Linked DNA regions of Bombyx mori. The protein of the gene in region 1 interacts with the protein of each later gene in a pairwise test. Links are inferred from orthologs where the notes say so. Each region holds a gene or a part of one and is shown in the gene's direction. Other genes may lie near its edges. The genes, in order: serine/threonine-protein phosphatase PP1-beta catalytic subunit, protein phosphatase 1 regulatory subunit 3C and protein phosphatase 1 regulatory subunit 7.

Region 1 (9,674 bases):
TCGTCATAAGATTAAAAACAAAAGTTGAGCAGTTAAAGCTATAACATAGAAAGTACCTACTCGTAAATTATCATTTCGTGTTAATAAAATTAGTAAGTATATTCCTATTCAAAATAAATAAATTCGTCTGCAGGATTGCTTTGTGACTTGCTGTGGTCAGATCCCGATAAGGATGTTCAAGGTTGGGGGGAAAACGATCGCGGCGTCTCGTTTACTTTCGGACCCGACGTCGTCAGTAAATTCCTCAACAGGCATGATTTAGATTTGATTTGCCGTGCTCACCAGGTAAAAATATTCACTTAATGGCTTATTCTAAGTATATCTAATTTTTTTCTCAAATATATAAATGTAATCTGATAGGCCAAGCTGTCATATTTAGGATTTCGATCAGAGGACCTTAAATATTATAGTATATTTATTGGAAGACACAAGACTTTAAGCTAGTTCTACCTTGTTACTTGTCTGTCTTAGGTATATTTCTTGCTTAATAGTTATATATGTATATGACAAATTATGTCTATGCACTCCTTTCTTTTATTTATTTTTCCTACATAAGCTGAGAGCCTTGAGAGGCTATTTCAGCGTAACCTTAACTAGTAGGTGAGCTCACGGGGCTCAAACCTGACGACGTTGCTAACACGAACCCTAGCAAGAGCCGTGCTTCGCAGAATCTACCACCGGATCGGAAACGCGACCCACTGAGAAGATCCGGCGAGAAACTCAGTGGGCTGTGTCTGAAGGTTAATTTACTAGTCGAGCCCTTCGTCGCAAGCGACGGGTTCGACGAGAACGATGACCGGTGCTTGAGGTACCTAAAAGCACCGTTAGTGGATCGGGAGGATCCGAAATGACGTGTTTGGGGCGACGTCGACTGCTTTCCATTCTGTCCGCAGGTACGGGAATGTAGTTACCGGCAGCCACGATGAGAGGGTTCTCCTCGTGTCGTGCCGCCTTATCGAAGTGGCGCATCGATGCCGACTGAAGATACTTACTGATGGATATCCACTCCAATAACCTCTTAAATATGGTGCTAAGTCAGACAATTCAGACTAATTAAAATGATGTTTTCGTTTCAGGTGGTGGAAGATGGATATGAATTTTTCGCCAAACGAATGTTGGTTACTTTGTTCTCTGCACCCAACTACTGTGGAGAATTTGATAATGCTGGTGGAATGATGTCTGTTGATGAAACTCTAATGTGCTCCTTCCAGGTAACATGATTACCATATCAAGAACTTTCAGATTTACCATATGCAGATGAAGTAGTAAATTATCATATCCCTTACAGATTCTTAAACCATCTGAAAAAAAAGCAAAATACCAGTACAATGGTATAAACAGTGGAAGGCCAGCTACTCCTCAAAGGTCACCACCTAAGAAAAAATAACTGACATTTGGTATCCAGTGTGCTGCACAGTGAGAGGAATGCTACAAATAATTAATTATATCATGTATTATAATTATTATTATTAGGTCATTGGACAGGGCCGGACAATGTGTCTTAAATTTGTGAAATATATGTTATCAATTACTTGTGCCTTCTTGTTTTACGTTTACACAATATGAGTGAAATTAATTTGTTTTGTTAAACTTTCATGAGGATTAATGAGTAGACACGTTCGGCAATGTTACATTGACATGCTTTTTCGATCCCTGAAGTACTACCTAGCAGCCCTTTAATTAGTACTGAACCCTATTGTGTTATCTATCGTCTACATGTTATAGTCAAATTGTTTCGTATCATTTATCATATTTTATCAGAAAAGTGGCAGCTGACTTCGAGATGCGGGCATTGGACACTGAAGCGTAATTACATTTACAAAATAATCTATTAAGTAGAGGATCGGAAGCACATTTGGTTGATTTATTTTATATCTAATGTGCCTATGAATGTAAATTATATATAAGTCTGGAGTGACGAAAATTAAATGATTTGAGAAATTCTTGTATGGAATAGGCAATAATTAAAAAACAATGTTCGTCCATAGTTGTCAACATGAATTTTATGTTTGTTGTAGTTTAAATATTTATTGATGGTTTAGTCCTTCTGTGAAGTTGGCCTAAACATGCAATTTACCTTCTTATATTTGTCATAGCATTTAAGTGTTAGTACCCAGGACTCCATTGCAAAAATATGTTTAGGAGAGAATATCCAGTGAAATAAAATTTAATTTGCTCTCAGTATTATTCTTAATGTTAAAATAAGTAGCAGTCAAAATTATAGGAAAGTATATGATCTCCCCGGCCGAGGCTTATTTGTCAGTCTAATTATACTGTAATGAAAGTCTCAAATTTAATTATTTAAAATAAAGTAGAAGCAGTGTAGTCCTCGCAACAATAGTGCAATTGCTAAATATTATATAAATTATATGCAGGTTTTGCATTGTACAATTTTATTTTTAGCTATGTTAACATTTTTCATTAATAAATATTGCTATTTAAACTATTTGTTTATTTTGTTTTGACATTCTGTAATTTTCACAAAAAATGCTAAACTTTTCACATTCAACATTAATATTAAAGGCAATTTATTGTATGTCTACTTACAGTATTTTAAATTAATAATATTTCATTTTGTATATTAAGATAGTAATGCAATTGCTATTCTCGATATCTTTTGCTCTGCACATCTTTCACCTACTCTTTGAAAAATTCATTGCTAGACTTTATTGTAACTTGTTCATGTACAAATTTCTGAAATATATTTTATTCAATCTATTATGCAATCACTTTATTTCATCAAAATGTAAGTCTTTGTCTGTCCAACTTTCTTCTTCTACATTTATCTTATTGTTTATTATATCACTTACAAAAGTATCATGACATTCTAACTTTTTGCTGATTTTACTGAAGAAATCTTCATTTTTTTTTTGATACTTCTGTAAGTCCAGTTGTAAAGCCTTTAAATAGCCTCTTTTGGCAGAAATAACATTCTTCAACCTATTGACCCTCATTTCATATTCTTTAGCTAAGGATTCAAGTAGAGACTTTTGGTTTTGCAAATTTTGTACATCACTGGCTTTCATTTGTGCTTTCACATCTCCTAATTGTGGCCTCCTGAAATATAAAACAAATATTACTACTAACATTCGTAGTTAAAATGCTAAATTTTCAATATATAAATGTGAAAAGATCGCCTTCATAAATATAAATCAAGCTTTATGTAATGCAAGTAATAATTGCAAAAATATTTGCACTGATTTGTGTTGTCTCTCTTAATAAATTGCTTCTTCGTTGAGCCTAATGTTATTAGAAAAAGTAGAAGTAGCAGCTACTACTTAAATTTAACCCTTTTTTTATGACGAAAGTGCAACTGCATCAAACAGAACATAAGAGGCAATTGTAGCTCGGATTGAATGTGTGTTAAATAATCTCAATAAAAAAATCGGATTTAATTCCTTCCCTAATATGAGACAAATTTTAAATTTTTGCATTTCTCTTATAGATATGAAGTCACTCGTTTTCCATGTTTAATTTTTCTGAATTGGGACATGGTGATAGTAGATATATATCATTAGATACATAAAGATGAAATAAGGGAATAAGTTTGTATGAACATAATGAAAACTTTGTTTCATTGAAAATAATATTATTTCATGTCCCATATCAGTCCTTAGGACAATTACACCACCTATTTTTTAGTTTACTATTGTCTCAAGGTGGGCAATTAAAACACTTGTATCTATAAGTTCCAGTAACCCTATGCTATGAGGTAGACTGTGTTGGTTTGCTTATTTTAGGTGCGATGGATTTTTGGCAAAATTTAATCAACTCTGCGAATACACTTGGATGACAGCCACTAGAAGATTTTGAGTTCTCGTAGACACACCACATTTAGGGTAGTTTTTTTTTTTGTATCCATGGGGAATCCCAGTCTACGGATACCCTGCCAATGGGGGTCGGACTGGGTTATGTCGGACTCCGCGCCAAACCCGCCCAGCTTAACGACTAAACCCCAAAGAGCTCCTCCACTCCAGCTGGGCCGGGACCCAGGTACCGCCATGTGCGCGCCATGGAGGGTAGACTAGGGTTAGTAGAATCCTTGAATACTTCAGTCACATTACAAGGAAGAATGGAATGGAAACCTCGCGAAACTCATCGTGACCAGTACAGGCCTTGAGGGTTTAACCCAATACATTGGTCTGACCAAATCCACACTGCTCTTGACTGTACATTTCACAACATCCTCCACACCCGTTTATCTGCTGTAAGTACTAGCTGTGTAAATTAGTTTTGAACAAGGGAGAAGTATATTATATATTATTATGTAAAATGTATGGGTTTAATTATAACCAATGACGGGATTCAAGGACTATGATACTAGTACACAACCATAAAAGGGATTCATTTTAAAATTTTATGAGCCTAATGGTTAACCAAAATGATTACTGTCCACTTTGCATGAAATAAAATTAATATAATATTTTTATTGTAAACAAGCATAAAAACAACTTCAACACTAATCAGACTTCAGACAAATGTTTTTATTGTTAAGATAATGTTTTAAAGCAACTTAAAAGCGGGTGTATACAATGCATTAGAACAAGAGCTTGCGCTGGCCAGACCTTCATTATTTTATAAAAGCTAGTTTCTCTGTGCATGTCCACAACATAGATCAGAAAAAAAGAGCAGCTAAACTACAGAGTTTGGCTTATGGCTAATTGAACAGATCACAAGTCCAATACTTTTCGGTTAGCAATTATTAAGTTTAATTTACTTAATTTAATATAATTTATTTCAGGAAAGTTAGTATTATTTCTATTGTACCATCAAACTTTTGGAGATGACATATTTGTAAAATAGTGTTATTTTGGCTTGATTGCTATTGATTTTGATTGCAACAAACTAAGATTAGTGTAATAGCATATCTGGCATTAATTAGCTGTCTAATATAGATATAAACCTATATAATCCAAATGGCACCTTTGCCAGGCACAAAGTATTGCGTTACACATACCATAATTTTTTGCAGTCTCCAACATCATTAAACTTCTCCTTCTGCTTTTCAAGAATTTCTAATTTTTCAGGCATACTTTCATATTCCCACATATTACTGATTTCTTGTACCATTTCATCAAATATACCCTGTTTTAAGCAATTAAACATGGGTAACCATTTTACACGTCGCAATTTTGCTTTAGGTACAGTTTCCAAAAAATCTTCATCTCTGTGACATAGCAATTTAATGAATTAATACAATTCACACATTTTTACCAAATTAAACTAGGTGACATTACTTTTGAATCAAAATTGTGCTTATTATCAGCAAATTGTAGGATTTACTGTAGGCTACTGTTACTAAGTTTACGGATTTTTCTAGCATTTTTTCGCTTTTCCTGCCTATCCTAATTTACCGAATCAAAGCTTTACTAATTAGAAGGGCCTGTGAGTCAAAACCATGTACAAAATAGAACATGGATAAAGTTGTTAATTCCAAATGCTGTGGTCAAATAAGTTACGCTTTTATTTTTTTTATTTTAAGCAATTGTTCCTAAAAAAGATATTATTAACTTGTTTCTGCTTGAAAAAGAAGTCTTTTAATTTATTATTTAATATTTTCTTATATTATTTATCAATTACTAAAATAACATATCAAGTGTGTACAATTTTAATTACTTGACAAGGTTTACGATGTTTCCGAATTCTTTCAATATGACGAGATTATCGAAAGGGACTTCAGAATTCAACATTTCAACATCGTTTTCAAGATCTGCTAAATTTTCACTCATCTTTATTTTTTCAACACTGATTGCGATTAAAATTGATCGAAACACTTAATTTAAAATTCACATCACTCAAAATTACAATAGTTTGCGCAATAATCACAATTATTTTATTTATTTTGTTTGGCCTAGCGTTCGTTTGTTTCAAACTTTTTTTAAAATATTTTTTGAAAATAACGAGCCTGGAGTGGCCAGATTTGAATTTATGATCCTCCTACATTCTTGTTTGCTCTATGCTTAGTTAAAATGCAACTATACGAAAGCTGCTGATAATACCAAACTTTTTAAAAAATACTAAGAAACAAATCGGGTTAAGAAGATTTGACAAGAAATTTTGGAATCGTAGAGAAAATTCACTAAAAATACCACGATTTTGTTTATTAAAGGTAAAAAAAAATAAAAAAAAACATCACGATTACCTACTATATGGCAATCAAATTCTACTGTCTAGTACTACTTTACTACTAATTTTAGGATCACTTTTATTGAATAATTAAGCAGATAGTGTCAAAGGACTTATAATATGTTATTTCATTTAATATGTAATTATTTGGACTTTTAATATTTATTTGAGATACTTCATCCAGAGATACCATATCATATTTTTCCTATCGAACAGATTGTTCAGATGATCTTAAATCTTGATCATATAGATCTTTTAGTATCTCTGAGTCCAAAGAGGCATTTTATCTACAATGAATTCTTCTCTAAGACGTTTCCTGAGCGCTACTTGGGTATGTCTAGAGCATTTTCGATGTATATAAGTAACAGTGACGACTTACGACCACTTGGGCCACGGCCTTGTTTTAAATTTACCATAAACACCGAAAAATCTTACATTAGTAGAAAATTCTGAATATTCATATTTTTTGTCCGAAAATAGTATTACTGTTTGCTAAATTTTTTTATGTGCTACAAAATATGTTTTTATCCCCATGGAGTTAATACAAACTCTATGGTTATCCCTAAATAAGGAACCAAAAATTTAGATTTTTTTTAGTACTGGTAGCACTGAACAAATTAAAATAGTTTTTTCCGTTTCATTTCATTGAATTCATTCCATAATAAAATTAATTGCAGACAAATTAACTTTAAAATTCAAAATAAAGTTTTAATTTATTTTCAGGGTAGCAAAATGTATTTTGAAACAAAAAACAGATTAAAGTGCCTTAATCTCAAATTATTGATTAATTTAATCTATCTGATCTTTTTTAAATATAAAAATGAATTGCTGTTCGTTAGTCTCGCTAAAACGGTAAGACCGATTTGGCTTATTTTGGTCTTGACTTATTTGTGGAAGTCCAGAGAAAGTTTAAAAGGTAAACCAATATGAAAATGCTCGGAATTAAATAAAAAATTACAATTTTGTTTTCCCTTTGATGTGTCCCCCGTCGGACGGATTCCTTTTGTTTGTTTTAAGTTTATTTTATACAAAAGTTTAGGTTGTTTATTTATCGATTGAGGCACTACGAAGTCTGTCGGGTCAGGTAGTTTTTGTGAAAAACTCTTTTGTTTTTTTCGGTATGGCAATCAGCTACTTGCGAAGGCGTTGTAAAGTCCAAGCGTACGTATGGTAGAATTATACGGTACGGTACGCGATGAAGACTTTTTAGCGGGAACGCGAGGAGCGACCCTAAATGGGTTTTTTAAATTTAGGTTTATACGTTTAATAATCCTGCTTTTATTATTAGCATCGCGAACTAGTCTTATATCTACATACATCTAGTAGTAAATGTAGAGTTTTTTGTACAGTGACTTAAAAATAAATATCAGTTTTTTTTATTGCTTAGATGAGTGGAAGAGCTCGCAGCCCACCTGGTGTTAAGTGGTTACTGAAGCACATACACATCTATAACGTAAATGCGCCACCCACCTTGAGATAAGTTCTAAGGTTTCAGTATAGTTACGACGGCTGCCCCACCCTTCAAACTGAAACGCATTACTCCTTCACGGTAGAAATAGGCGGGGTGGTGGTACCTACCCGAACGGACTCACAACAGGACCTACCACCAGTAATTACGCAAATTATAATTTTGCGGGATTGATTTTTATTACACGATGTTATTCCTTCACCATGGAAGTCAATCGTGAATATTTGTTGAGTATCGTATTTCATTAGAAAAATTGGTACCCGCCTGCGGGATTCGATCACCGTTGCATCGCTCGATACGAATGCATCGGACGTCTTATCCTTTAGGCCACGACGACTTTTGAAAGTATTTGGTATTTTTGCCTAATCATAAAACAAGTATTTCTTTACTAATGCATATTATTAAAAAGATGGTATTGTTCAAATAATTAGATGTATCACTCTATATTTCATCGAAGGGGTTATGCTAGCTTCACCAGACGTGTAGGCGAGCTCACAAAGCTCAGCCTGGATACTTAGCTAACACTAGTTCTACTAAGAGCAGTGCTTTGCTGAATGTACCACCGGATCGGAATCGCGACCTACTTAGAAGATCCGGCGAGAAACTCAGTCGGTTGTGTTTGTGAGTTTGCTTTCACGACGAACCGTTCTTCACATTCGGCGGGATCGACGAGAACGGTGACCGATGCTTGGAATGTCTAAAAGCATCCATAGTCGAAGGATCCGAAATGACTTGCTAAATATTATCGTTCGGAATTTAATATCTGCAAACTTATCTTCGAACTGGCTTCAAACTGTTCCATAATGGCTACGGCCACATATCTATGATGAGGACTCCCAGTAGTTGGTCTCTCAGGGATCGACATAAATTAAAAATGATTTTTCTAAAAATCAACCCCATAATAATTAACATAAGTCCTTATTTGCAACTTTAAAGATAGGTAGGTACCTACTACATAAGTCGTATTACTTGTACCATCTTGTCATAAAAATGACTAATATTTTAGTAGGAAGTATCCTTGTTGTACTTTTTTAAATTTAACAAGTCGATAGACAAGACAAGTTCGTACAAGATATGTGCTGAATTGTGTCTAAGTACTTTTTTTGTTGAATTTTGATGAGAAAGTGATATTAGTTGTACTCACAACTAACTGCTAAGTTTTGAAATTGGTAATTCCTTTTGGTAATTGGTAATTGGTTTTTCTATTGTATCAATAGAAAAAAAAAAACTGAAGTTACAATTCTTAAAATAGTTTGGCTATGGAGGTTTGTGGTATCAACTCATTTTGGAAAAGGGGTCTCTTGCCCAAAATAGTTTAGGAATCCCTGATATACAGTATGAATAGACAAAAGAAAAAAAATAAACTATTCTTCATTCTGTTTGTCAATACATTTTCTTAGTTGTTTAGTCACTCTTGACTAGTTTATAATGAATAAAATTAAATTAAAACCAAGGTTTGGTCCCTACAGAATAAAAAATAAAAGAAAACGCAATAGGTCTGTAATATTAATCTTGGAGTGTTTCTAGTGACTACTTTCGTGAATATTGTCGAACTGCAGCCATTAAGAGAGTATACATATATTTATTTAAGAAGTTAATTATTCAATAACTTTTTTCTAATCTTTCATTTCTGTCCACCGCAATGAAGGTCGACGGGTGGCAAACCTGCAATTTAGATTTTTAAAGGCCTTTCACACAATTTTTTAAATGACTTTTTTAACACATTTAACGGTAACCTCCAATTCTAACCACTTCTCATGTTCTGAATCATTTTCCAAACTCCTGTTATCTAAATATTATACGAAAATAAAAAAATACTTTTTTATCTTTTGTATTTTTTATTAATTGGAATAAGTAAAATAAATAAATTAAAGGTAACAAAAACAAGATTTGTGTAACAATTTCTTTACCGTGGCAGTGACTATGTTGAACCTTTTAAACAAGAGTAGCAGCAGTCTTTGAGATCTTGCGGAAAATCTTTATGTATATATTTTTTTTATTTACTTTCATTTTTCAGTTTCATTTAGTTAAAATGTTTCATTTAATTTTAAACATAGTCAACGTTTTGGTGCTTCGACTT
Region 2 (11,207 bases), on another chromosome or scaffold:
CACAGATCCGACCTACATCTAGCCTCTAGTCCTATACTACGCTACTACAGACACAGTCCTCTGCAGCTCTGTACTGATCCCGAGCTCTTCTAGTACACAAACAGACACAGATCTGATCTACATCTAGCCTCTAGTCCTATACTACGCTACTACAGACACAGTCCTCTGCAGCTCTGTACTGATCCCGAGCTCTTCTCGTACACAAACAGACACAGATCCGACCTACATCTAGCCTCTAGTCCTTATACTACACTACTACAGACACAGTCCTCTGCAGCTCCGTACTGATCCCGAGCTCTTCTCGTACACAAACAGACACAGATCCGACCTACATCTAGCCTCTAGTCCTATACTACACTACTACAGACACAGTCCTCTGCAGCTCTGTACTGATCCCGAGCTCTTCTCGTACACAAACAGACATAGATCCGACCTACATCTAGCCTCTAGTCCTATACTACACTACTACAGACACAGTCCTCTGCAGCTCTGTACTGATCCCGAGCTCTTCGCACCTGTGTAACTTTATTTCCTCATTATATGTTATTTTTCTTCTATTTCCTTATAATTTTGGCACGATCACCGTCTCACCGCGTGTTACTCCGTGATATTTTAACATAACTAGTTTCATACTATCACGCCGTAACCCCGGCGCGGATTAGTGACTTTCGCATGCCTTATGCTGTGTCCATGATTTAGAATTGAATGATAGAAAATTGGGAATTTCAAACAGCATACCTATTGTACTTACTAACCAAAGCCGATATGATGAATCGTTTAGTTCACTGACAAATTTCCTGTTAATATTTTTCAGTTATGTTATTTTGTAATTTATTAACTAAATTTCCTGATCAGTGACATTTTCAGTGTAGCTTCAAATCGGATGGCGAATACGAAAAAATGGAGAAAAAGTGGCGACGGCCATTTTGTTCAATGATTGTTAGTGGTATTTTTTTCTTTTTCTTCTTTATTATTAATAAGTCCTAATTATTAATAAGTTCTATGAGACAGATTATTATATTATTGTGTGTGTGAATTAATTGTATAATGATTTAGATTGATTGTGTATTTTTTAAATTATGTTCACGACCATGAACAATTTTTTTTATTGCCCTTGCAGGCAGACGAGCATATCTGATGGTGAGTGGTTACCGTCGCCCATGGACTTCAGCAATGCCAGGGGCAGAGCTAAGTCGCTGCTTACCGCAAAAAATGGTTATTAATAAAGATTATGCGAAACGTGAAGAGTTATGTTCTAAGAAGTGTCAAAAGGAACTTCGTAGTTGGAATAGAGTATAGGTGGGGTCGAAACAGTGAATTTTTCTATTCCATTCTTTTCTATCAGCCGTCATCTCAACACTCTCTCTCTCATATCACACACTCCATCCATGTCTTCTTCGGTCGACCTCTTCCCCCTCCGTAAATATATTTTTTAATTAACTGAAAATGTTATAATTTGATAAACATACACCAGAAACCTACCCAGTCAACGTTAAGTGATAAGCAGTATCTGCTATTTACATGGTACTCGCATTATCCGATCCCTTTTATTACTGTAGGAAAAATGACACTATAACCGCATATGACGAGTAATTTTGCCGCCATCACTACATTTACCGTGACAAATTGATGTTTTTAAAACCCATTACCTCGTCAAGTTCGCGTCACAAATCGAAATACTTGTTTATATTCTTACGCGGCGCATGCAAATAGAATATTGCCGCGGTGTCTTTAGCGTGTTTGCGTTATGCTTTACATGTATCGTACGCGGCGGAGAGAAGTGTGCCCGTGAAGGCCGCGTGACATGTACTGTGTCCATATTGACAGGAGATGACGGATATTCCCGCGTCAGGCTAGAGCTCAATAGAAAGAGAGAAAGAGACAGAGATAAAGAGAGACAGAGAGAGAGAGAGAGAGAGAAAGAGAGAGAGAGAGAGTATTCTTTATTGTACACCAACAAAAGAAACAATGCGAAACATTAAATACAAAAAAAAGTACAAATGGCGGTCTTATCGCTAAGAGCGATCTCTTCCAGATAACCATCAGGTGGAAAAGAATCATTTGAAAACTAATTACACGTGGTGTACATACCAACCAATTTCAGAATAGATTAGATTTTTAGTTTGAGTCATATGATGACATAGCGTAATAAGCTTGTGTTTTTCGTAAGTTTGCTTGATAGTGTCTCTGTGGAAAATTTAACAAAAAATAAGGTATCTAGAAACCTGAATCGCACTAAGAAAAGGGCAAACATTAAATAAAAACTAAGATTTCATAAATTCCCCACGTAATATTTATTGATTTATGAAGTTTTGATTATTTTAAGGATGTGGTTGCGTGCTTAATCAAAGTCTTGTTGAGCCAAACTATGACGTATATTTATTTATACTTGCAATTTTACATATACTATAGCAATGCACTTATATTTTTACAGTTTACACAAGCTACAAGTCTAATTTGAGGGAGGTGATATTAGGCCGTTTTAAGTAAGGTGTCTCACACCATGCGCTTTAGACGGTGATTGCGGAGTAGCTGGGTACACTCGTCTATTCCGTTGGGCTTTTGCAGAATGACTAGCGAGCGGAGTCAATAAATGCTTTAACTGCAATTTTTCGCGTCACCAGTACATGTGTGTCCCCCCCACATACGGCTAAGACCATTTGTGGTTCCAACATCCTCAGGTGTTCGATTAATTACAAGTCCACGTGACGTCATAAATTCAATCTCAAGTAGTGGCAGGCAAGTAGGAGCACAACTGCAAAAACAACGACCCCGTCTATTTTTACCGATCGGTACTAAAAATAGGGTAGCGTGAATCGAAGCTGTGCAGCGCGATAATTATTGCAGTTTCGTATATTATTCAGCTTTCACATGCGGCAGACCTAAAATGCAGTTTTGTTTAGTCGGTCATTCTTGTCGTCCACAATGTGCTCCTTCAAGATAATCGAAATGCGTCAAAATACAGCTTATAAACACCAGTATTATGCAAAGTCATTACACAATATTCAAATGTAGACGAATGGCATGTTATAGCAATAATGTGTTTGTGTCCTTTGCATGGCCATCGGAAATAGCAGCATCAGAATAGTCATATCACAATATTTTTGACAAAACCCGAGAATTTCAGCCTTTTGGCGTTTATTAGTCGCAGCAAAACCGGTCAAAGCAGCAATTTCTCTATTTTATGACCTTGAAACCAGAATTTTTTTTTTTTTGGGCAAATATCGGATAACGGTAACAACCTGCACAAGTTCTACGAGTAGAATACAGATAACCAATGAACAATAGAAATTCCTATTAAGTAAATTCACTTAAACCAACAATAGAATCAGTAATATGTCAAATCTCGGAACTCACATAGTCAAAGAGTCGTATCGCTTGTTTCCGCCTCTCTCCGACAATCTAAATATAGTCACAATTTATCAATAAAACTATTTAATGTGCACGAACTTTGTAAACAGATAAATAAATCATTAATTTATCGATTTTATTGTTCAATGAAACTTTATTGTTTGACCATAAAATAAATAGCATGTTCTTAGGATGCAAGTAATTTGTATCTTGCACTAGGTGAGCAACTATATACATCACAGCGTGTCACTAATCTGAATGTGTCCATCTATTGTCTACAGTTCGAACTGCACTAATTGTTTGATAACTCCATCGAACGACCTGCTCATTACATGCAATGATTTGGATAGAAGAACCGTGGGTAGCTTAAAAAAGTTTCCAACTTCACCAGAACGATTGGACTAGAACGGACTCAGCCAGGAGAATCGGGTTATCCTAACAGCTACCCAAACGCTTTCGAGGGAGACCTGACAGTTCAAGAGCAGCTTCTTCGCGCATGTATACTACTGTATCTCAATTACGACCGGCTGAGAAGATCCAGCGAGAAACATAGCAAGCTGAATAGGTTTCGCGTCAAACTCATCGTGAAGTTCGAAGAGTAATTGCAACGGTTCATTCGTATTGCAAATAACAACATTGTTACATTGGAAATACTGTAGCAAACCTGATTTACTTTATCACATGACCTCGCACCTTTGCCGATTGGAATGCGAACAAGATAAAATGTTAACCGATTGGAAAATACATTGTTGGAACTTTGTTTTATACACTGTTTTGGTTTTGATGGTTTCCATAAAAACGAAGGCAGCAGCTGGTATTCCTGGTTCAGTACCATTTTCAAGATTTCCTGAAGGGCGTCTACTAGTGATTTTCACAATCTAGATGACGATATTTACATTATTAATGTCCATTAGCTTCGGCCACCAATTGAAGCTTAGTCGATAAAAACAAATTAAAAATAATTCGGAAACAAATTTTTTATTGCTTATGATTGGTAATTAAGCTTAAGGCCCATCGTATAGATGGCTACTTAACTTTATTAACCTCCTCCCTCCAGCCTTCGAGCTGTTAGGTCATTTCCGGAGGCGCTCAGGTAACTGTTATCAAATTACATCCCTCCTGGCCGACCCCGTGCTCGCTCGCCTATCTTGGTGAAACTGTAAAGGGCTCAGAGCCACCAGTAAGTCTTCCTTCCTAAAAAGGTCCAGGTTCAGATTATCAGCTGGCCACTTTGAAATGAGCATTATTAACGCAACTTGAAATAGGAGTTCACTGCAATCTAGACATACATCAAAAATGTTGCACCTCTTCCATTTAACTTTCACTCGTTGTCTCTTTCTATTATAATCGAGTGTGTATTTTTTTATTTATTGCTTAGTTGGGTGGACGAGATCACAACCCACCTGGTGTTAATTGGTTACTGGAGCCCATAGACATCTATAACGTAAATACGCTACTCACCTTGAGATATAACTTCTAAGGTCTCAGTATAGTTTATTACATGTATGTGTGACGATCAAAATTCGAGCAGTCCATAATTATTAGCCTGATGTAAAACTTCAATTTTTTTTTTTAGATAATGTATAACTAATTATATCAGTAATTTAAGGAAATCAAAAAAGGAAGGACGACGTCTGATAACAAAGATTATTTTCAAAAAGTATAAAAAAACCCACGCTTACACTCACTAAATCCCGGATGACCCTGAAACAAAGGGTGAATACATTAAATGTTTTTATGAATTGCAACATCGCTAAAACTTCGTCTGCCCATTAATACTTGACCCATTTCTCTTAACGTAAATAAACTCCGGAGTCCGGAATATTCCATTGAAATCATTGTCACCGTATTGTATCACGCGCCCGACGTTTTAAAAGAGGGGCGCCCCGATAACTCGCTTTCAGTCGGGCATCGATCGTTTTCGAAAGAGTACGTCCCGTGTCAGATGTGCGCCGCCATAGATATGATCGCTTCCGAACAGTTATTTTACGGGCGCAGTCCGCCGGCCGGCTTCTTAACTGATTACACGCCACAATTGCGAAGACCAACAAGATTGACGACGCGAGATTTCGCGCCATGCTTTGCAACGTTGAAACCTGTTCAATTGACTTTGAAAAGCGCCCCGCGCTCCTGCATCCGTATGCCGACGGAGAAGAAACAAAAAAAAGTGGTATTCGCTGACGACCGTGGCTTCGCGTTAGCGCACGTCAAGATCATGACGGAGCCCTCACATGTGCCGCCGTACTGGGCCCTCAAGGTCGTCGAAAGTCCACCGCCAGAGCGGAAGCCACCTCCGAAACAAGCTCCCGATCTTTGGGAGACTCGGTTTGTTCAACCGGCTTCGGATTATTTGGAATTCAGGCGGCGCATCACGGAGGACTGTGTATCGTTAGAAAATGTTATTGTAAAGAGCAACGAATGCGCGGTCGATGGTACGGTGAAAGTGAAAAACCTGGATTTCAGCAAGGAAGTGTTCGTTCGGTCTTCTTCCGACGGATGGGCGACCAGCGAAGACGCTTACTGCGCGTTCGTCGAGATGGGGCCGCTGAATCAGAAGAAGGAATCGACATACGACACTTTCGGATTTCGTTTACAATTACCGATACATTCGAGAAGACTGGATTTCTGCGTTGGCTTCCGGTGCAAGGGCAACGAGTATTGGGACAACAACAAGGGCCGGAATTACACGATCGAAAAGTCATCGGCGAGGAACCCGCCGGCGATATCGTGCGCTAGAATTAAATACGGCAATTCGTGGACGTCGAGATCGACCGAATCAAGTGAAAATACACCGTATTGGTGAAGGTTTTGTATCGATATTTCTGTGCCATAATCGAAAAGTGCAGTTTTTTAATGGATTCGCACTATTCCTGGTCAACGTAAGTCTGAATTATTAGATTATTTAAAACGAACGAGAAATCGAAGACTGCTGTTTTTTATAAATCTATAAAACGTTTTATTGTATAATAGTTTCACATAGTGTTGCTAGAAGTTGGTCTATTTGATTTTTACAATTGTAATTACGATAATGTAGATTCGTCACGGCGATAATAGGTACGTGATTGTGTTTTGAAACTGTTTAAGTTTTTTTTTATTTCTCTTTACCTAATCGCTAGTGGCCTAAGGGGCTATTCCAGCTATTATCAGAGCGGAGCTTGCGATAATTATGATTGTATTTATTCGAGTGTTTCCAAGTTACCTAATAATTTTATAAGGGACGCATACCTAACCAAAAGTCTGATTTCGCGTTTAGTGAAATTTGCTCGAAATTGGTATGAATGTTTAATATGCTTAAATGCTTATGTTATCAGTAAACAAAGTAATTTGAACCGAATTTTAAAACAGAACGTTTACATATAAGGTTTTTAATTTCATAGCTTTATTTTAGAAAGATCTTATCGTTCGATATCAGGCAATGTTAGATTGTTTGGTCTAAAAATGATTTATTTTTATTTTTATATCATTATGATTATTTAACCATTTTTGTCGGAAACTGTTTTCGACATTAAAATAAGCCCGTAAAAAATACACAATGAATAATGTAAAAAAATACTAAATTTGACATTACATTAATTTATGTCTTAAAAAAAATGACATTAAATGAATGTCACACGTCAAAATAGTGATGCAATAATGCTAGGCGAACAGTTCTGCGGGTTTTTATTTTAAAATCCATAATGAGGTGTGTAATCTTTATTTGTAATTGTAAAACATTAATTTGAAATATAAATAATTATGACATTATAAAGTGGAATATTTATACGGGCGTGTAATCTATAACGCTGCTTATCCGAAGGCAGTGGGATCGGCAAAGGCCACCATATTTTTTTTTCGTTTTAAAACATGTAGCTACTTTACGCTTGTGTTCACGAATGCTCATGATTGGCCGAATGCTATTGGAGAAATTCACGTGCAGGATTTTAAACGATCTGGTGAATCGGCACAATAAAACATTGAATTTTAATGCATGATTTTAATCGATCCTAATAGTGAGACGGTGCGTGAAATAAACTATTGTAATCAATATACTTTGTGATTTAATGTAAGTAGGTATGTAACCTCTTATGTCGATACGTCTTCAGCTGCGTCTAACTAAGCGAGCATAGTATGTAGCGATCTCAAATCACTGGAATTTAAAAATGACATATGTCAAAAGTGGCAGCTGTCAAGCGCAGATTACTACACTGGTGTGTGGAGAGTAAGAGTACCTGTGTATTAAAAATATGTCCCCAAAAAGCTTTAAATTAAGCTGAAATTAAAATTATACCAGAACGTTCTTGAAGAAAACTCCGAAAGCGGTTCGTTTGCTTACACAAGCTTTCTAAAGACGCTGTTTATGATTGTAATTTTGCAATGCGGCACGATGGAGTCTAAAAGATTCGAGTTTCGATATTTTCAATGTTGGTTATGTTTATAAGATGCGTGAAAAGGAATAAATAAAAAAAATCAGCACGCTTTATTTTTAGTTAAAACAGATGAAAATCTTCTAATCGCGATCGTCGGATTGTAATGTTGATTTGGGGCATTTTGGGAAGCAAATCTATGAGATTTATCTATGACTGCATCACATTCCCTGGCATGATTTTATTTAAAAAGCCAACTGAATGTTCCGATACGATCTTGAGAAACTATGCAAGGTAGAAGTAAGGAGCGCCATCTTGTATAGGGGACAAGTTGATAAATTGTCCGTCTGTAAACAGCGCGTTGTTGTTGGAAGACTCACCGACACAGCGCTAGTGTAGCAAGTGGAAATTATATGAATATAGCAGTTTTAAACAGAGCGATATGTGCTAAGTTGAAAATATTAATATTTTACGTGACTTGTGTAGTAAAAAAAATGGAATACATATTTAAAATCTCAACTATTTATTTTTATTGATATTCACATAGGAAGTTTCTTTCGTTCTTAATTTAGTATCTGTAATAGTTTATGGTGCTCATTCTAAAATCTCTCCATTTGCTACTGTGGCGCCACCCTAACTGACTCCCTTGTTAAATGACGGGCTCTTGCCGCGATTCTAACACGTAATGGCTTCGTGTTATTTCGACTAATAACACGGGAATTCAATTTAAAACGTCAGGGAAATTAATGTAATTATCGTAAATCGAAAGTAATTGTGTAATTTTGTAAACATATTCGTTGAAAGCGAGAGTATTTAATTCTTCACAAAACTGTTTTGATATAGCTATTTTATTGCTGAGCTTAGTTATACATATTTTTTAGAACGTGCTAAAGATTTTTTGAGAAAATAATACAAAAAAGAAATCACTGCTAAATTGGCAGCAAAATAATTTTAAATGGTTATTTATAAATGTTATTGCCTTATTAAAAAATCGTTATAAGTTCGCGCGCTAAGACACGTCCGTGCAGTTCGATACCTAATAATCAAACTGCGCAAATAATCGGTATTTCGACTCTGCGCTTTATACGCATCACTAGAGAGTCGATCTATCGACGATTCGCGCTAAAAGGCTTAATTATGTGCTCTCTTCGTTCTAATACAGATCTTTCTCATTTGATTCGATCTGCACGTGCTATTTACATAGATCTTGTCATATTCAATGTAAAAATTATACCCGTAATGACATATTGAAGTCATTTGAGTCAGTAAAGCGAAAATTAATGTGTTCAAGTGAAATGAAACAATGGAGGATCTGTTTTAATTGACATTCTGGAGGTTACGAGTGGAGGTCGCGTTTGAGAACGGTTTGATTGTAGCGTTGTTCTTGGGTCTTTAACCTCATGTTTTTTTTTTTATGCTTGAAAGATTACTGGTTGGCCGGTGGCCTTTCCAGTTTCACCAGGACAGGTGGGCGAGCAAAGGCTCAGCCAGGAGGGAGCGCCTCATGTTCTAAGGTTAGCGGCTGTGGCGTGAGACAGTAATTGAGGTGCTTATTGGGAACGCTGTAACGTAAATCTGCACTTTTTTATAACTTAGATAGGTGAACGAGCTCACAGCCTGGTTTAGGTGGTTACCGGAGCCCATAGACATCTACAACGTAAATGCCGCCGCCCACCTTGAGATATAAGTTCTAAGGTCTCAGTATAGTTACAAACGTTCACCTACCCTTCAAACCGAAACGCATTACTGCTTCACGGCAGAAATAGGCAGGGTGGTGGTACCTACCCGCGCGGACTCACAAGAGGTCCTACCACCAGTCAAGTAAGATTGTTAACATATCTGTTAGAGCGCCCGTGTCGATTGAACAAATCCAAATTCAATTTATCTATAGATATTTTCTATAGATATATTGAATGTTATAAAATAAATAAATAAATATTGTTCGTTAATATTAATTTTTTTTAAATAAATACATCTGAATGTAATATTAGTTTAAGATAATTACTAATAATTGATTATTATTTTTTTCATTATTTCACACAATGTTCCTTTTTTTATTATTATTATGAAATATTTTAAAGAAATACAAGATACAATCTAAAATGTTATTTACTTATTATTTTATGAATTGTTACGAAGACTGTATTTTTATTATTATATTTTTTTTTTATAATAAATTTTTGTAAGATAATTTTGATTGTTTTTTTTTGTCATCATTAAGAGGTTACTTAAAAATTTTAATTACTTAAAATTGTTGGCAAGGCGAATGGAACCTTGGACATCAATAAATCAAGTAAATTGTTACATTAATGTTAGCAGAGTTGACAACGCAATGTAACAACAAATGACGCGTGAGGTCAACGCCCCAGCGTGGCTACGTTCTCACCCTATACAATAAAACGACAGTCATTGGTTAACAACCGGCTCGCCGGATCTTCTCAGTGGATTTTGGTAGGCAGCGGCTTGGTTCTGCCCTTGGCATTGCTGACGTCCATGAGCGACGGTGACCACTTACCATCAGGTGGGCCGTATGCTCGTCTGCCTACAAAGGCAATAAAAAATAAATCCCGATCCGGTGGTAGATTCAGCGAAGCACTGCTCTTGCTAGGGCTAGTGTTAGCAAATCTTACTGGTGGTAGGACGTCTTGTGAGTCCGCGCGGGTAGGTACCACCGCCCTGCCTATTTCTGCCGTGAAGCAGTAATGCGTTTCGATTTGAAGGGCGGGGCAGCCGTTGTAACTATACTGAGACCTTAGAACTTATATCTCAAGGTGGGTGGCGCATTCACATTGTAGATGTCTATGGGCTCCAGTAACCACTTAACAACAGGAGGGCTGTGAGCTCGTCCACCCAACAAAGCCATAAAAAAAAAACTCTCATGCTGAGCCCGTGAGCTTACCTACCAGATGAGGTAGGCAAAAAAAAACATTACCTAAGACTTACATTAGCGTTATATTCGATCGAAACATCGTTAAATTGTTAATTGGTGATTAAATCAATCGTTTGAGCGTAACAGCGAAAGTATTGCATTACGTACGCGATTTTTAATATATACTAGCTGACCCGGCAGACTTCGTAGTGCCTCAATCGATAAATAAAAGACCTAAACTTTTGTATAAAATTAAACTTAAAACAAACAAAAGGAATCCGTCCGACGGGGGACACATCAGAGGAAATTGTTATTTTTATTTAATTCCGAGCTTTTTTATATTTTCTCACCTTTTAAACCTTCTCTGGACTTCACAAATAATTCAAGAACAAAATTAGCCAAATCGGTCAAGCCGTTCTCGAGTTTTAGCGAGACTAACCAACAGCAATTCATTTTTATATATATAGAAGATATAGATATTTATATAACGATATGGAGTACTTCAGAATGAATAAACAATAAAATACTTAATTGCCTTTTCTGTAATACATATAATAAAAAAATAAAGACCTTAATATCTTTTAAAATTAATATTTTAGACAGTATTCCTAATCCTATACGAAAGACGGGTGAACACCCACTGA
Region 3 (11,202 bases), on another chromosome or scaffold:
GAAATGAGATGAGATGATAATGGATGAAGTATAATCTCAGTAAAATGTCATTTACTGAGACTTTTTCAGTGGACTTTTTGGAAGATCCCGAGAAGTTACTTTCAGCAGCTTTGTTTCATTTTCTCACATTTGTGCACTTTCACAGATACTAAACAGTTCATTAACTACCGTTATTACACATTTAAACCTTAAAAAACACTAATTAGACAAAATAAAACAAATCACACAATTTCACTCCTCGCGTTCCCGGCAAAAAGTCTATGGCTGGAAGAAAACATATTATTGAAATTTCTTTGCAGCCCACAGTATATTCACTTTTTGTCCTACAGACTGGCGGTAAAGAAAACCTACTTACTATTATAGGTGAAGGTATAAAATGGAGTAAAAAAATAGAGCGGGATGGTTTCAATGAGGGCTAGGCTCTAAATAAATCTCTATGGTGTAGTAAAGCAAGTGGAACAGTTAAAATTAACTGAAACTTCAATCTTTTTGTTAACGAAACCTTGATGAATTTTCATTTTTGGACAACAAGGAACATAGAATTCAGATAGTAATACACAAAAGCGGGATTGTGTTGTTTTTCTATTGTAAAAGTGCATTAAGAATGCCTTTAATGGTAAAATTACAAAAACATGGGTAACTGCTACTGTAAAAGTTGTTGAACACAACTTTTTGGCTACTTCCAAAACGTATAAAATTAAAGTTAACATATTTCAAACTAGCGACCCGCCCTCGCTTCGCTTCGGAAATATTAAATTTTATTATTGATAGCCGAGTCCCGCGATGTTACCCGCGTTTATTATCGTACCGCGGGTGACGCCGCGGAGCGAAGCTAGTCTAAAAAAAGCCTAAGTTACTCCTTATATCATCAACTACCTGTCAGTGAAAGTCCCGTCAAAATCGGTCCAGCCGTTCCAGAAAATAGCTGGAACAAACAGACAGACAGACAGACAAAAATTGTAAAAAATGTTATTTTGGTGTATGTACCGTATGTATATTCATATGCATGTAGTAAAAAGCGGTTATTTCGATATTACAAACAGACACTCCAATTTTATTTATATGTATAGATGTATAGATAATCATCAGAGGTAGCAATTTCATTTTCAAATAGAAGACTTATGCCCGTATCTTTAGACGTTTCGTAAAATAGTCCTCCACTCTAAACTCATCCGATGATGCTCGAATATTCCTCCCAAACTTACTCGAGTTTGGTATTTTTAGTCGACCATTACAATATTCCTCAACTGTCCTCGAGTGAGGTAGAAAGGTGCTATTGCGTCACCACGACAACATCAGTTTGAGGAAAATTTGATCAAGCTAGCATCAAACCTACAGAGTTCTGTAGTTTATGGTCATTGTTTAATGTCAAAGTCAAGCTACCACTGTCTGTTTGACACTAGACGCACCGAACTTGTTTGATGTTTTAGTTGAGAGACTCATAAATACGTGCGCGTGCGGTGAAATAGAAGGTTTTCGTTTTTCTAACCCATGATTAATAATTTAGATTTCGGTTTTTGAATAATAGCTCCTCCAGGAACCCGGCTTTGTATTTTTATTCGCTGTTTCTTTGTTGAATTTGATTGCATCGTCTTTTTGAAGTGCTTTTCCACAACCACCGGTTTATTATTCAGGTAAGTTATGATTGTGGTGTTTTATTTATCAAATAGTTAACTTTAAGTTAACTCAAATGTTTAAATATTTTTGTCCTTTATTACTCACTGCCTAAGCAAAGTTTTTTATAGATTTTACGTGAAATTACGATGCAGTAAATTATTTGTCGTTTCAGTTTTTCTATAATGACGTCCAGGCAAGTATTTAGCGAAAGCGAGAAGACTTGCCTACAAGAATTAATTTTAAAATATAATCTGCACAAAACTGCGACCATGACAGCTAGTCAAAACACAAAAAAACTTTTGTGGGTACATTTAACAGAAGAATTCAATTCAATTGAATCAAATGCAAAGGTAGATATTTATTTATATTACTTGTATCTGATTTTTACTTGTCTATATATACCATGCTATTCTTATTTATCATTTGTTTTAGCGAAGTGAGGCCCAGCTCAAGAAGTGCTGGGATAATTTAAAAACACGGAGGAAGCACTTTTTGGCTAATGAAAAGCGTCAGAGAATGAAGACTGGTGGCGGACAGTGTATTCCAAATGAGCCACAGCCTGGTAGCAGCAATGAGACCCTTATTTTTGCTGAGGTTCTACTGGATCAGACTGATGTGGAACTCAGGGGTGTCATTGACAGTGATACCATTTACAGTTCTGAAGGTAAGTGAATCTTAAAAATTTGAGATAAGCGCTTCAATCTCACATGCTCTCACAAAAAACAGTAAGAACGTGGTGGCATGGAGGGTCTTTTGATTATTGTTATATATCTATATGAGTTGAACTACATGTATTACTGTGCTAAAAACTAGATAAATAACATGCGCGACAATACCTGATAAGATTTTCACTCAAGAAACCATTTTAATAATCATAATGAATATACCACATTCTGATTAAGAACAATATTACTTTAAAATTCTTTCTTTCCTCTACTCCAACTATCACTTTTATTCTACAAATCATTGATTGAGCTAGAGCACAAGTTCATTACTTAATAATAAACGCAAGTAATGTGTAGAACTATTGATCTTGTATTTTTTCAGGAAATGTTGCAGGCACCACGCCTATGCATTACAGTGTATCATGTCGTGACACCCCACAACGTCGTGATACTCCACCACGTCGTGACACTCCACCACGTCGTGACACTCCACCAAGTCGTGACACTCCACCAAGTCGTGACACTCCACCACGTCGTGACACTCCACCTAGTCGTGACACTCCACCAAGTCGTGACACTCCACCACGTCGTGACACTCCACCACGTCGTGACACTCCACCGCGTCGTTCTGGGTCCCGGCAGACTGACTGTGGTGCAGCCTACTTAGGAGGTAAGTTAAAAATGTAAAAAAAAATTCAATTCGAAAATGTCAGAACAACCTTGAGAGTGTATAAAAACAAAAATACAAATTTTGTTGTTGGCCTACATTTGATGCAGATATCACATACCCGATCCTGTGGACTGAATGGTAAACAGTCGACGTTGCCTTAAGCACGTCATTACGAATCCTCCCGACCCATTAACGGTTCTTTTAGGCACCACAAGCACCGGTCATTGTCCTTGCTGAACCCGTCGCTTGCGACGAAGGTCTCGACGATCGAATTAACCCATAGACAGCCCACTGAGTTTCTCGCTGGATCTTCTCAGTGAGTCGCATTTCCGATCCGGTTGTAGATTCTGCGAAGATCTTGCTAGGGCCAGTGTTAGCAACACACCCGGCTTGAGCACCATGAGCTCACCTACACTTCAAGGAGAAGCCTCTCAAGGCTATCAACATAGGTAGGAAGAAAAAAAAAGATATCAGTGAACAAACATAAAAAAAAATACATAAAAGTTGTGTCACAAATAATGCAATTTGTAAATCTAATCTAAATATATCAATATCTTTTTATAACTTCACTTTAATTGTATTGAATCAGATGAATTGACTATCACATTTTACTCAGTCTAATTAATAATTCGACTATAGTAGCTCAATCCAATTGTGGGATTTGAAACCACCCATTAATACCTTAATTACCACTAAAGCTATCATCACTTCAAAATCATAAATATACATTATGTAGATTACTAAAATGTTACAAATATAGATGTATAACAATTGCATTTTATTTAATTACAGGAGGGAATGTGCGCACCAGGGTAATTCAGGAGGAATTTAATTTTAGAAAAGAATCTTATGAAAAGAAAGAGAGAAGAGAAGACGAACTCTTTCAATTCCAAAAAAAGGAAAGAGAGTGGATGATGAAGGCAGCCGAAGAAGTATATCTAAAAGCGAAGGCTGAGAGGGAAGCTGCAGAGGATATTAAAAAATATAATCAGGCTAAAAGAGATTGTAGTGAAAAATAATTTAAATAAATAACTCATAATCACATTGACTTTATTTATTAGATAGTAAGCAAAATATGACTCTTATGTAGATAAATAAAATAAGGAGTTTCAAAAGTCTAACCTCGTACTATTTACTTTTTTGGTAAAAAAATTATCAAAATTAACAAAATCAAATTTAATCATACATCTTCAAAACAAATAATACTATCTGCATTACAATAACGGTGCTCACTGCTCGGTTCCAACTTATATACCCATATTAGCCGGACAACTGATAACTGTTAGGGTAAACATGTTCTTGAGTCGAAACTGTGAAGTGGTGGAGTGATGATCTGTGCAGGGTGGCTGGCAAGAGCTGGATGAGGGAAGCCGAGGATTGTGCTCAGTGGAGAGCAATTGGAGAGGCCTATGTCCAGCAGTGGACTGCTGTAGGTTGATGATACCCATATGAGAATTTTTAACTGAAATGCCTAGAAATAAAAGCCGATCTTATAATACTCCCTCTGGAAGAGTCCTGAGTATTAGGTACTGGGACATTTTCTAGCTCAATTTCAGGGTTCAGCTCAGGTTCATTGGTCATTAAACAAATGTTGTGTAGGACAGCACAAGAGACTATAATATTACATGTGTTTGGTGTACTGTTTTGTAATTTTCTACACAAACAAGCAAAGCGTCTCTTTAATACACCATTTACACGTTCTATAATGTTTCTCGTTAATAGATGTGCTCGATTGTATCTGTGTTCTGGGTCTGTTTGAGGATTGAGTACAGGAGTGTACATAAAGCCAGTCTGTGCATAACCACTGTCTCCGACAAGAATGCCAACTAAATCGCCTTCTTCAAATCTCAAACAGCATCTGCTGTTGTTAAATATGCGCGAATCATGCACAGATCCAGGCCATCGCACAACAATGTCGTATATTTCCATTTGCGGTCCACATATTATTTGGACATTGATAGAAAACCAGCCTTTTCTATTACGAAAGATTTCTCCCCTTGCTCTGGATGGATTTTTTATTGGAATGTGTGTGCAATCAATACATCCAATTACACCTGGAAACCCTGCAATTCGGTAGAATTTTCTTTTAGTTTCAACCCTTTCATTTAATGCAGGGAATTTAATAAATTGCCTGGATTTCAAAGCCAATCTCTTAGAAATGTTTGCTACCGTTTTTGATACTACGGATTGAGAAATTTTGTGCAAGTCGCCACAAACAATCTGAAAAATAACCATACCACATGAAACCAAATGAAAGTTATAAATTATAAATATTCTATTATGTAGACACAAAAGCACATTATGCACGAACCTGAAAATTGCCTGTTGCGTAAAATCTCAAAGCAATTAGCACTCGTAATATGGGCGTTAAAGGTAGTCCACGATCGTTTTCATTAATGTTGTTAGTCAACAAAGGCAGCAAAATATGCACAACCGAATCTTTGTTAAGCCGGTAACGTTTTCGGAATTCGTCGTCATCGTAAACTTCCAACGGGTTATCTGCATCTCTCAAATACCTTCGCGACGGATAATTATACACTCTGCTATCAAAAATATAGTTAATAAATTCTTCAAAACTGCTCTCAGAAGTCATCTTGTATTAAACGCTGTTTTGAGGAACGTTCAAGGTACGTCGCGACGTACCTTAACTTGACAGTTCGGTCACTTCACTCCGGTTAGGAAATTTTTCCAAGGACGTTTGAGTGGAGTTTATTTTTACGACTAATCATACCAAAACGCGCGTTGGAGGTTGAGTCGAGTCGAGTTAGGCTCGTGTGAACGACTAAAGATACGGGTGTTAGCTTCTGTCCTACAATGCGAAAACTTGCCTATTTCGTTGCGTTAGAAACAACTGAATCGGTAAGGCATAGTCCTTCTAGCCAGATAAGAATAGTGACCTATGGATAAATTAAAATTCATTACGCAAGGTTTGAAAGGTTTGAAAGTTCATCCTTTTCTTGGCAAAACAAAAAACTTGGCTCTATAGGCTTCGTTACTTTTGTCAACCTGTGGCATAGATGATGCACTTGCCTGCCACTTATTATGAAAAGAATTTATGCCATAACTTAAATAAAAAAAGCTTTCTCCTTTGTGAATTCAGAAATTTCTTCAGACGTATACAATCACTGGCAGACACCAATAATGTGTAAGTAGTAAATTACTGCAATTAAATAACAGTTCACACAGATGATTGATTGATGATTTTCATAGGTCCAAATAAGTTGTACAAAATTTTTGGGTAAACATATAATTGTTGGATTTGCAGCTCAGCAAGATGCACATATGACTAATAACGAAGCAGATGATGTGCCCATAACAGTGAGCAATGGGAAAGAAAATGATGAAAGGAAGGATCGGGAAGGGTCTGCCTCACCACCGGCGACACCACCTCCGGCCGACGAGGATACTAACGAGATAATTTTAGTCAACGAGGAGACCAAGGAACTCGACTTAAATCACGGCCGTATAGGCAAGATCGAGAATCTTGAACATTTAAAAAAGCTAGAGAGGTATAGAAAATAAACTAAATGTCTAAATCAGGCATTAATCATTCAAAAACTTCTACACTCATTAAATTTTTAAATTGCGACTTAATGAATGCATTGTCAAGAACTTTAAGTATCCTTACAGATATGTTTTTCATATCCTTGTTTAATGAAATTTTGTAAATATGGCAGATACTGTCACTAAAATAAAGTGTACCCTAATGTACATTGCTTCTTTAAATAACTAATTTATGATCATGAGTTTGAGCATGTTATAGATAAAACCATTTGCAATGTTAAATTAATTCCTCAGTTCAAAGCATAATATGCCCATTCGCTTTTAATGGAACTTTATCAATGCAGTAGCATCTATGACTCATACTTTCTTTTCCAGGTTATATTTGAGATGGAATTTGATAAAGAAAATTGAAGGCTTAGAAATGTTGCAGTCACTGGTAGAACTGGAATTGTATGACAATCAGATTGTTGTTATTGAAAACCTTGATAGTCTTGTTAATTTGGAGTAAGTAGTAGTTTGAAGATTATTCTTCGACATTTTACTTGAGTTACCACCAATATAACTACCTACAAATATAAAAATACTCATTTGTAGAAGTACCTTTACCTGATTTCACTGCTTAACACCCTGTAATTTTTGGGACATTTGGTGTTCTGCACCTGTTGCACCATTGCTCTGCCAAGTTAGGAGTCAATATAAGTAAGTTGTAAATTAAAAGATGGGAAGAATGCAAGAGTTTCTGATTTTATTTTGAATTGTTTTAATAATATAGTATATATTTAATAGTTTATAGTTTGGTTTAGCCTTTTTATTTCCAGACGGTTTTGTTTCTCACATTGTGGTTTCTAGATTTAAACACTCCAGCTCTCCTAAGAATTCTGTTACATTAATTCTCTTGTTACAGAATATTAGACCTATCATTCAATAGGATAAAAGAGATAACAGGACTCGAAAAGCTGCTGAACATCAAGAAATTATTCCTCAGCTCAAACAAGATCACTGAAATCAAGAATGTTAATCATTTACCAAACCTTGAACTTTTGGAGCTGGGCGATAATAGAATTAGAGTATGCGTGACAACTTCTATTTTTTATTCAATAGCATAATAAAGTATAATAGAATCAATAGCACCAGTACAAATATACAAGATGTATGGCAAAAAGTTACAACAAGCAATGAGAGTTAGGAACTACACTAACAAGAAGTTCTGGGCAATGTAACACAAAAAAAATCACCATCACAAATGTAGATTTTGTTGATTTTTTTTGAGTGCATACTGGTGTGCTACTACACATACACATACTGGCATGCTACAATTAAAAATAGATTGATGTGCGCGATCGATTCGTTTTTATTTATGTGTATGAAAAGGCCAAATTAAGTTTAGTATAGAATTGTTAATTATTTCACAATGAATTCTCTTAAAATGGAGCCTTACAGGAGACCAATCTGGAGAAATACGTATCTATGAAAAAAGAACTACAAAAAATTTAAAAAAAAACACTGCTCATAACAACAGAACACGCATAAGATTGTGTTTAAGAGAGATGATTTTTAACTAATTTGAAGAAAACACAATTTCGAGAGCATGCATCTCAGCTCCTAGTAATTTAATGTTGTTTTTTCATTAATTTAGACTGTTAATAAATTTCTGATTCCGACAGAGATTCGTTTCTTACAACTCTTTATATGTATTACTTCACATAATTTTTTTGTATAATATATATTAAGAGTAGGTATTTTGTATTTTAACAGGAAATAAAAAACTTGGAAGGTTTGAGGACCCTCAAACAATTATATTTGGGTAAAAATAAAATAAGCAAAATACAAAACCTTGAGGATTTGACCAACTTGGAGATACTGGTTCTTCAGGCAAACAGATTAACTAAAATTGAAAATCTCGAACAATTGAATAAACTAGATCAACTCTATATCTCAGAGAATGGTATAACAGCTATAGAAAATTTGGAGAATCAAACAAAACTTCAGACCTTGGATCTGGCCGTGAACAGGATCACTGTTATAGAAAATGTTCGGCATATGAGTGATTTGGAGGAGCTATGGGTGAGTTTTTTTTTTTTTAAGCAATGGTTTTTCTCCAATTTTTGCAAAAAACACATTGAAGCATAAGTTAATTGACAAATTAATTAAAATAAAATTAAAATTTAGATTAACTAATGTTGTGAGCCCGCACTGGTACCGCCACCCTGCCCATTTCCGCATTTTAGGGTTTGTACTATAGAATTGAACCATGTACTAACTATAAAACTGAGACTTTGAACTCATGATTCAAGTTGACTGGCGGCATTGGTGTCAATAAGCTCAGGGAATCACTTAACACCACAAAGGCTTAGAGGATCGTTCATTAATTGAAACAATAAAAACAAGGCAATAGAAAAAAAAAAAATGTATATCTACGAGCAATACCGTCTACCGTTACCATAAGGGCACACGGGGCCCGTGCCCAGGGCCGCCATTCTCAGGGGGGCCCGAAAGACCGACAATTTCTCTCACACGTTTATTCTCAAAACATTTTTGTCGGGCATATCACACTTTTTTCACAAATCAGTAATCAGAAGGTATTTACAAGGCCTACCTATACTATGCCTATAATAGAAGATTTTGCTTAACAGAAATCCCGAAAGAAACCGTTATCGAAATCGTAACCAAAAAACCAGCAGCAGTCTAATATCATTAATGACATATATATCATACTGTATTTGATTACCTATAATAAATGGTCTCATACTCAGTAAAAATATGTTATTATAATTCGCTTTTTTTACTTTCCAAAAGGGCCTCAAATTTTTGTGTGCCCAAGGGCCCCATCCTAGTTTAAGACGTCCCTGTCTACGAGTTTTCCCTAATCTGCTGTTCAGCAGATTATTATGTTACGTAGTATCACAATATGTATAAAGGAAAAATGAAATGAGCAAAATAGTTTTGAAAGTAAAATAATTAAATCACTTTGGGCCTTCTAAAAGTCCCTAAGTCTAAATATCCTTTTAAGTAGATTTAAAGGTTCTAACTTATTTATTGTAATGCAAAATTTTAGTTGTGTTGTGCATTCAATGAAAAGCCTTTTTTATTTTAGTTAAACGACAATCAAATAACAGAATGGTCATCGATAGAATATTTGCAACAAAACAACAAATTATCCACAATATATTTGGAGAGGAACCCGATAGCTTCAGATCCAGCTTACAGAAGGAAATTGAAGATATTGCTTCCAACACTACACCAGATCGACGCGACACTGTGTAGATAAGAATTTTATTTCTTGGTATTGGGATGAGAGACGATGCGGTAAAAGAAATATTAGTCTACTGTTTGTGATCACTCATTTGTTCCGTGGAGTCTGTTAATGTAGAATTGTTCTTCTTTGAATTCATTGACTTCTAAGATGTGGATTATTATCCAATTAGAAGTCTTCTATAAATCACTTTATTTTTTTAACAGTACTGCATTTCAGGCTATGTATTAAGTAACATAGCCTTGCAATGTAATACAATGAAATAATTTAATACAATGTGTCTTTTATATTAAAATATATTGTCTCAGAGGAATTAAAATCACTTCGTCTCTTGTCTCTTGTAGTGTATATATATTTGCACATGTAATTTAGTTGGAATTGTTGAATTTGAGTTGGATAAATGTGCGATTTTGTGTACTGCTTCAGTGTCATAGTGGCAGCATTCTCCGTTTTTGTATGTTATATTAAAATTATCTAAATAAAACAGAGTAATTTAGTGTAGTTGTCTAATTGAAATATTTATTGGTATGAGTCTATATCGACGCTTGAAAGGCAAACGTGACTAAGCGACAATGCGTGAACTTTACAGTAGACTAATTTAAAGTTAAAATTAATTTAAAATATACCTGAGAAATACCTGAAAAAAATTATATTTTAACAAATGTAGCTGTAGGATTGAAATGATTTTAATAGACCTAGAAATATATTTTTTTGCGCATCGAATATGGTTATTGCCTATCATTTATGTACAAAGCAGTTATTGTCGCTTAGTCACGTTTGCCTTTCAAGCGTCGATATGGATATTTGTGTTAATAAGTCACAAAGGAAATATCTTAGGTAACAAATAGATAAAAATCATATTTAACTTAACAAACAAAAAGTTCCGATTCTTGAATTTATTGTGTGTGTTAATAAAAATATATGAAACGAAATAAGTATTACATCAACTATTACAGTTTGACTAAAGCGACAAATATGTATTTTATTATTAAACAGGACCACTATATTTTAATTACAAAAAAAATAACACAATTTTTGAAGACCAAGCAGTAAGAATTGATGAATTGCCTGTATGATCTTTGCTTTGGTATTAAAATAATGAAACAAAATGTTACAATCTATATCTTTGTTGTCACATATATATTAGTTATCATAAATACAAAAACTAGTGGTAGGACCTCTTGTGAATCCGCGCAAGTAGGTACCACTGCCCTGCCTATTTCTGCCGTGAAGCAGTAATGCGTTTCGGTTTGAAGGGTGGGGCAGTTGTTGTAACTATACTTGAGACCTTAGAACTTATATCTCAAAGTGGGTGGCGCATTTACGTTGTAGATGTCTATAGGCTCTAGTAACCACTTAGCACAGGTGGACTGTGAGCTTATCCACCCATCTAAGCAATAAAAAAAAAGATTTTAATTTATACAGGACATACCATATTGAAACAAAATTATGATAATTAATTTTCACATTAAGATCAATGTTTTAATATTAAA

The links.
Region 2: the proteins of serine/threonine-protein phosphatase PP1-beta catalytic subunit (region 1) and protein phosphatase 1 regulatory subunit 3C interact in a two-hybrid assay, tested with the Homo sapiens proteins (2 studies listed by BioGRID and IntAct). The link is inferred for Bombyx mori from reciprocal best matches to the Homo sapiens genes PPP1CB and PPP1R3B.
Region 3: the proteins of serine/threonine-protein phosphatase PP1-beta catalytic subunit (region 1) and protein phosphatase 1 regulatory subunit 7 interact in binary tests that used the Homo sapiens proteins (3 or more experiments, as listed by UniProt). The link is inferred for Bombyx mori from reciprocal best matches to the Homo sapiens genes PPP1CB and PPP1R7.

Annotation. Positions count from the first base shown.
Region 1 is NC_085124.1:8,360,380-8,370,053, forward strand, and holds the end of serine/threonine-protein phosphatase PP1-beta catalytic subunit, read left to right. Parts: intron 1-133; coding exon 134-285; intron 286-1,076; coding exon 1,077-1,211; intron 1,212-1,288; coding exon 1,289-1,387; 3' UTR 1,388-2,637; coding exon of another isoform or gene 2,638-2,694; 3' UTR 2,695-2,718; downstream 2,719-9,674. Other genes in the region: uncharacterized protein LOC101737498, read right to left, coding at 2,727-3,057, 4,958-5,167, 5,617-5,729. UniProt on the Homo sapiens protein: Protein phosphatase that associates with over 200 regulatory proteins to form highly specific holoenzymes which dephosphorylate hundreds of biological targets.
Region 2 is NC_085130.1:10,291,329-10,302,535, forward strand, and holds protein phosphatase 1 regulatory subunit 3C, read left to right. Parts: upstream 1-5,237; 5' UTR 5,238-5,296; coding exon 5,297-6,154; 3' UTR 6,155-9,885; downstream 9,886-11,207. UniProt on the Homo sapiens protein: Acts as a glycogen-targeting subunit for phosphatase PP1. Facilitates interaction of the PP1 with enzymes of the glycogen metabolism and regulates its activity.
Region 3 is NC_085109.1:2,513,661-2,524,862, forward strand, and holds the start of protein phosphatase 1 regulatory subunit 7, read left to right. Parts: upstream 1-5,955; 5' UTR 5,956-6,093; coding exon 6,094-6,097; intron 6,098-6,217; coding exon 6,218-6,461; intron 6,462-6,831; coding exon 6,832-6,960; intron 6,961-7,360; coding exon 7,361-7,523; intron 7,524-8,211; coding exon 8,212-8,520; intron 8,521-9,550; coding exon 9,551-9,716; coding exon of another isoform or gene 9,717-9,724; exon of another isoform or gene 9,725-11,202. Other genes in the region: uncharacterized protein LOC105841298, read left to right, coding at 1,800-1,967, 2,050-2,281, 2,665-2,952, 3,745-3,971; putative nuclease HARBI1, read right to left, coding at 4,411-5,172, 5,264-5,545. UniProt on the Homo sapiens protein: Regulatory subunit of protein phosphatase 1.